Linked DNA regions of Canis lupus familiaris. The protein of the gene in region 1 purifies or fractionates together with the protein of each later gene. This does not show direct contact. Links are inferred from orthologs where the notes say so. Each region holds a gene or a part of one and is shown on either strand. Other genes may lie near its edges.

What was found. The genes of interacting proteins can lie anywhere in the genome.
Region 2: the proteins of DDX5 (region 1) and DROSHA purify together in Homo sapiens (co-immunoprecipitation; 4 studies listed by BioGRID and IntAct, with this or other methods). This does not show direct contact. The link is inferred for Canis lupus familiaris from reciprocal best matches to the Homo sapiens genes DDX5 and DROSHA.

The regions. Positions count from the first base shown.
Region 1 is NC_049230.1:14,616,334-14,620,081, reverse strand, and holds the start of DDX5 (probable ATP-dependent RNA helicase DDX5), read right to left. Parts: upstream 2,635-3,748; 5' UTR 2,607-2,634; exon of another isoform or gene 2,163-2,606; intron 1,983-2,162; 5' UTR 1,848-1,982; coding exon 1,804-1,847; intron 586-1,803; coding exon 420-585; intron 88-419; coding exon 1-87. Other genes in the region: CEP95 (centrosomal protein of 95 kDa), read left to right, coding at 2,874-2,892. UniProt on the Homo sapiens protein: Involved in the alternative regulation of pre-mRNA splicing; its RNA helicase activity is necessary for increasing tau exon 10 inclusion and occurs in a RBM4-dependent manner. Binds to the tau pre-mRNA in the stem-loop region downstream of exon 10.
Region 2 is NC_049225.1:76,748,412-76,752,059, reverse strand, and holds part of DROSHA (ribonuclease 3), read right to left. Parts: intron 3,337-3,648; coding exon 3,237-3,336; intron 1,799-3,236; coding exon 1,691-1,798; intron 1-1,690. UniProt on the Homo sapiens protein: Ribonuclease III double-stranded (ds) RNA-specific endoribonuclease that is involved in the initial step of microRNA (miRNA) biogenesis.

The DNA.
Region 1 (3,748 bases):
TGCTTCATAAAAATTCAGAACTGGCTTTGGGCAGTTGTGACCTCTAACCGTAATTTCCTTACTCCTTCTGTATGTCTCCACCTCTTGCTATAAAACAAATTTTAATAACCTACTAAGTACCATAACAACCTTCACCAATATGCAGTCAGCAGGCCTTAAGTTTATCAAGGATTAGCAAACTGTAACGGGCCATTTAAAATCTATATCCACATATAGAAAACCTACAGAGCACAAGATCCATCTATTGTAGTTATATTTAACCACTCTAAACAGAAAAATTCAAAGATACCACTTGCCAAAGCACCTCCTCTTCCTCGACTATCAGAAAATATGAGTTTTCCAAGGCCTCTGTTCAAATTTCTGTTTACTAAAAGTCACTGTTGAGTTACAGCCCAAGGAAGCCCTGTGAAATTACTCACTGCTGTGCGCCTAGCCAAATCAGGGTGTTCTTGATAAAAATTCTTCTCAAATTTGGGCAGCTCATCAAGATTCCACTTCTTTTTGACTAATTTCTCCCCAGGGTTTCCAAACTTCTTTCCAGATAGGGGCCCTGCCCTACTTCCCCCAAATCGAGGTGCACCAAACCTGAAATTAAAACAAAAAAGTTATATTTTCAACTACCTACTAAGACGTTTACATACAGACTATTTATTGTCCCTTGACACACAGTACAGATAAATGAAAGACTTTTCGAGGTTTAAGACTTAGCACTGTCCTTAGTGATGGGTCATGCTCTCAAAAGCCACAATTAGCACCATCTCTCTCACTTTCCGTTGTCCCAAATACACACTATTGAAGCCAAATCAACAGCCCGGGATTTATCAGGTCGGAAATTGGCTGCCCAAACGCCCCATGTTCAGATTACAAGGATAGACAACAGCTTGTGGCTCCTAGTCTTTCCCGTGAGCTTAGGCATTAAATGTCTGGGGGAGAGACAATACAAGGGAGGTGCGTAACAGCAATGTTATTATCAGCTCTTTCCAAGCCAAGCAGCTTTGGTTCTAAGGAATAATGGGACAGCACCAACGAGAACAGAACAAGGACGGTGGTCTCAGAGACATTTATGCAAGCCCATCGAATTGGGGGGATCCCCCCGGAGGGCTCCTCATCAAGATAGCAAAATTATATAACGCAAAGAAAAAGAGGAGGAGGAGCTGGCAACTACCGGGGGAGGAGTCCCGGACCGGGCGGCGTTCCCGCTGGGGCGGCGCTTCCCCCTTTGTCTCGCATTTCTCTCTGCGCCACATTTTCTCGACGCTGCCATTTTGAGCTCCTCCGCCGGGCGGGGTAACAAAGGCGCCGCCGCCATGTCCGGCGCCGGCATTTTGTACCCGCGGCTCAGCCACATGGCCGATTCCCGCGGTGCCGGCCGCCCTCCTGCTCCCGCGCCATCAATGGCTCGTGAGGCGACCCCTTCGATTACCACAGAACTCCCGGGGCCCCTACAACACTTCCCGAAAAGATGCACCGAACAGCGGTGACTTCGTTCTCCTGAAAGCGTCGCGCTTTCCAACCATTGAAATACACTCCCCCGAATTGTCCCCAACAGCTGCTCAGTCGGCGGGGGCGGGGGCTTCGGCGCCTCCCCCATCCCCCCACCAACAAAAGGCGAGCTTGAGGACCGTTAACAGGGAAACATCCCTCTGTCAGTTCCGGACAAATATCAAAATGGCGCAAGCCTTCGATTCGTAAAGGTTAAATATAGCCGGAAAAAGCCGACTGTCCATCGCCCCCGCCCGCCGCCTCCTTCATCGGCCTCCCATCCCCCACTGCCGGGCCTGACAAGTCCGTTCCCACACTCACCCTCGATCCCGGCCGCGGTCTCGGTCACTCGAATAACCCGACATGGCGTCAATGGTTGCGGTTGGCGGGGAACGAAGTAAAGAGAATCGGGTGCGACGAGTCGCTGCAGGTGGCTTTGGCGATGGCAAAGCCTTGCGGGGGCGGCAGCGGCAGCGGGGCGGCGATGACAGGGGCCGGAGCTGCTCGACAAGAGACCGGTGGAAATGAATGAGGTGCCGGCCGCGTCCCGGCAGCCGGTTTTATAGCCTGGACCGCCTCCTCCGCCGCGGAGAATGCTGGGAGCCGCTCTATGACCTAATCACCCCGCCCCTGCGCAGAGGCCGCAACGCCCGCCGGCGTTCCGGGATCCGCCATGTTCTCGCCCCACCCCCACCCTCCGCTTCCCTCAGAGTCGCCGGCTTGGGGCCCCTTTCACGGCTGGGCCCACCCGCACTGAGACGCCTTAGCCTACTCTGTGTTCTTCACCTTTTTCTCGTCTTTCCACACCTCAAGGAAGCCACCCCGCCCTTTCCCAGGTCTAGCCCTGCCGACAAAATGGCCAGCACAGACCAACCCACTCAGCCCACTTGGAGATGTTTACGTCTCCGAAGAGCCTTCACGCCCCTAACCAAGTGAGACGGGAAGGCGGAGCCTGACATTGTCACGTGACTGCTCCCGCCCATCGGGTAAGCGGACCGCACTACTTCTCCACTTGGCGTCGGCGGAGGAATACGAAACGAAATAGCTCGCCGGAAGTGCCGTACTATTGCCCCCGGGAGGCCGGCCAGGGCCGCTGGGTGACCCGGCCTGTCAAATCCACCCACCTGAGAATCCCTCAGCGGGATCTTGCCCGCGGAGAATGGTACCTAGAGCCCACAAACCGCCGCCTGGGCGCGTGCTGCGAAAGGAAGTCCTCCCGTGATGACCAATCAGCAGCAAGAAGCCGTTTTAACGTCCCTCCCTCTTTCACCCCCTGCCCTTTCGTTTCGTTCTCCCCCCACCTCGGCGTTGCGTCTGCGCTGTGCGGCCCTTCCCGGACGCCGTCCGCCTCGCGCCCAGCTGGAAGTCCGGCAGCGACCTGCCTCCGTGACATGGCCGGCTCAGAGGCTGGTGAGTCTCGGCCCGGAGCCCGGGTGTGTGTGGACTGAAACCCTTTAAGTCCGCCGGACGCTCCTAGGCCTTTTATCTCGAATCCTCCGGCTGGACTCCCTGGGTCTGGGCTGCCGGCGGGGCTGGTGACAGACACCCAGTCGCAGTCGGCGGTTCCGTGGGTTTCTTGGCCCCGCTCTGGGTCCCCCTCCTAGAGGCCATCTAGCGAGATCTTGGGGTGTGGAGAGAAGAACCCCGTGGCGAGGCCCGCAGCACGCCCGCAACCTGGCTGCAAAAAGGGCAGTCGGAAAGCTGCTTCCCGGGACTCGTGTTTCTCTGGGGCATCCAGCCACTGTCAGCGCGCTCTCTGCCTCTTGGATTGTGGGGACTGAGGCCGTTACCTCCATGTGCATTGAAGTTTTGAGGGGAACGGCACTCTAAAGATCTGCTGATGCTCCTGCCACAGTAGGATAGTGGCGGATTTTTCTCTTCAGTGCCCTCTGGAGTTACCTGCATTGTCTAGCAACCGCTTTTGAAAACCGAGTGGGTTGGGTTGTCCGGGACGCTTTTCTTTTCATCCTTTCCTCAGGACAGCGTTCAAACCAGCTCGTGGTTTGGTCAGCTGTGAGAAGTGGGCACGGGGACAGGGAGATAACGTGCCTTGAACGCGCTCAGTTCGTCAAATACGAAGTAGAAGGACTTCTTAACCACCTTAAATTGTATCAGGGAGCAAATAGGTCAGGCTTTAGAAATTACCTTTGTTGGAGAAAGTCGTGAAATAATCTTGCTAATTCCGACCGTATCTGGGGGTGGGGTGCGGTGGCACACAGGAAACTTCCAACAGTGTTGGTAATGTGCTAGTTCTGAATTTAGGGAT
Region 2 (3,648 bases), on another chromosome or scaffold:
CACCACCCACCAATCAGTTATTTTTTTTTATCTTTTTACAAATTAGGGCTCTACAGAATTTTGTTTTTAAAAAAAAGTTCAAAGTTAACCAAAAACACAAGTTTAAAATTCACTGAGCTGAAAGATCTCTAAGGTCCCTTCCAGTTAATAATGCTCTACAATTTTATGATGTCTCTATCAACTCTGACTTATCATTGAGAGGACCAGATTTTGAGCAGATTGTTGAACATTCTGCTCATGGTTTTGTTTTAAGATTTTATTTATTTATTTGAGAAGGAAAGAGAAAGATGAGAGAGAGAGAGAGAGATCACAAGCAGAAGGGAGGGGCAGAAGGAGAGGGAGAAGCAGGCCCCTCACTGAGCAGGGATCCTGGGAATCATGACCTGAGCCAAAGGCAGAGGCTTAACTGAGCCACCCAGGCACCCTCTGCTCATCATTCTTATGCTGTCTACCTTAGGATGACATTATGTTTGTTTTGGAGGAAAATAAAAATTAGATAATATAGCGTCAAGGTCCTAAGAAAAAATCAGCAGAAGATACTCATTTCTGAATACTTAGAGTAAAAAATTAAAAAAAAAAAATTGGTCAGTTAGCAAAATAACTGACAACTTGGTAGATACAGCTGGCTGCCACTATAGAGAATTAATTCTCCATCTAGTAACATGGCATCAACAGTAGTCCATCTTAACACAAAAATATATAGCTCTGGAATCACAATGTAAATGAATCACCTAGCAGTACCTTTAATAATAAGATTAAATCCCACTGTTCAATATAATAATTAAATGCCAACACTGACTTAAAGAAAAAATACCTCATTATGATGAAATAAATACCCAAGACTGCTTGAACGTATTACCAAACACATGCTACACAAAACAAGAGTGAGTGGAAGCCTGTAAGCATTCTTCCCAAAGGCTGAACATGGCACACTACACTACCTGACCTGACCCCTGCCTGGGTGACCTCCTCGCCTTTACTATAATTCCCATGGAGCACAACCAGTATCAATCATAACAAGAGAATTGAGTGAAGAGTCAGAGAATATGTTGGGTTTTAGGGGTCTCTAATATATTATAAATTCCACTCATAGGGAAAACAAAAATAGTTATTAGTGAGAGTTATATATAGTTGAAATGTTCCTCTATTAGTTCATCTAAGGAAAAAATCTGTTATCATTTGACTCAAATATGAAATTCATACTGATTTTGTTCATTAATGCCTTCAGTTCTCTGCAATGTAAGTTTGACTCATCAGTCTGGAAAGTCTGTACACATCATCTTCAGGAGTCTGCCTGTACAGCTGCTGGAATCGCTCTTTTGACAAGCGCCCACACGCATTGCACACAGGCAGATGCATTTGAAAAACACACTTGCCTTCACTCAACAGGCAGAGACAGAATTTAGCATTACTAAGTAACTGCCCCCCAACTCATCCTACCACCGTGCACATGTATGCATGCATTCATGCAGGGGCACACACACGCACACACACACACAGCTAAACAAGATGAAAACTGACACAAAAACAAAACCCAAACAATAGAAAACAATTTATGGTTGGTGTTCCATTTAGCTACAAGATTGTATGTTCTGTAGCAACTCATCTCATCCGCATTAGGAAAACTTCAGTGGCAGATGCCTTTTAAAGAGATATATAGGTATAAATGTGTTCTTAGAGGCGTCATCACCTGACAGACATCAGAACGGATGCCAGTTTTCCAAAATCCTTGACTACTTAGCTCCACTGTTACTTCTCGCCTCATTGTATTCTTCTGTCGTATTTTTTGGAGTGCTTCCTAGAAAAGAACTCATTATGATGAGTAAACTGACAGCTGTAAAGCAATATTAAGCCAAACATCAAGCATTGGAAAATAAGCTGGATTCATTCAATATCACCCTTACATTCAGGTATTCAAACCTCTTCATGTTAAATTATAATATTTTATTTGAAATGAAGGCCAGGATGCTCAAAGCCTTGGGTATATGCCAGCCTTTCCTGGTACCTAGATATGAAAAAATCTAAACCAAATCGACCATTCTGGTGAGTTCAAACAAAAAATGCCCCTTTGCTGATAAAAGAAACAACATGTGATGTTTGAGACTTAAAATCAGCATGTAAAAATTATATTTATATCAAGCCTTATGTTAAGCATTTACATCTAAGAAAGACAATCAGTAAACTAATCTGCAACCCACATAATTCTAAAAGCTGTCTTCTCATTTGCAAAACCCTTACAAAACCTCTTGCAGCAAGGGTACCTTTTTATTTAAAAAAGACAATGATTTAAAACTTCTGCAAGATATAAAGGAGCTGACTCTTCCCTTTTACCTCCCTTCAAATAATTAATTATAAAAATAATTTTATATTTGTACACTTATTCAATAAAAATCTCATAAGAGTTCATAACAACAGGAACTATCACACCACCTGCCTCATTAAATGCCTACTACAGATCAAACACCATCGGAGGAAAGTTAAACGGAGTATTTCAGAAGTCCACACAACCACCTTTTTTTCCCAGATGCACCAACAGAAACAAATTTCAGTCATCCTCCCTTAATCTAGTTCTCTCTTTATAATGAAGCTATCTGGCTCAAGTCACAGGAAGTGACTGGACCAGAATTCAAACACTTTTCCCAGCTTCAAAGCCTTGCTCTCTAACACTGCCCAAAGCAAAATAAAACCTCAATGAAACAAAATTTATGTTGATACTGAATTGATTTATTCTTAAAAATGATCCTGGAGTACAGGGATAATACTACCCATTAGTAAAAAATATGGACTTTGGGACATAAAACCTTATGAAAGAAGTTTACCCTACTAAACTAACAGACATATGGAAGACATATGAAAGGCAATCTTTTACGACCTTAAGTACAAGAAATTTGAGCAAGACCCAAGTTGTGTTATGTACAGTCTAATTAACAATAAAAGGTTGACCCAGCAATTTTAAAATTTGAAAAATCTCTATAAGATATATTTATTCCCAATGGTAGGAATCCATTAAGAAAGAGGCCTTTTTTGGTGTGGTGGTGGTGGTGGTGGTGATAATGCTCCTCTAGATACTAAAAGATGAAAAAAATATCAATCTGTATACTAATGTGAGGAAAGAAAAGTGTATTTTTAAAAGTGTTTTTCCATTTTATTCTAGAAGTATGGTATAATGCAATAATCTTGAAATAAACATGAAACACATCAACATTAATCCCAGAAGAACAGGATTTGATACCAACCTCTCTTTGTGCCAGCTTCTGTTTGTCAGTTTGTTTAACTTTGGGACTATTTGCTAGGAGGTGGCGAAGTTTCACATAACTCTTCCACAGTTTCTGGTACCTAAGGAAAAGGACAGACAGACATCTCAGAAAAAAAGTAGGAGAATCTGAAATGCAATAAAACCAGCTGTTTTAATAGGCCTGCTGAATCATAAATTACATTCTTTAGATATCCTTAATGGCAACAAACCTTCATTCTAAGGAAGCATATGATCTGGGGACAGTGGGGCAGGATGACCGAGAGTCATCTGGAACCTAGTGGTTAAGTTGATAATTTTAAGTCTGTGTTGAAAATGAGGTACCCTATAAGTGCCCGAATCTCTGTGGAAAGAATTCATAGACACATAAAAACCAACAGAAACACGTATTATTT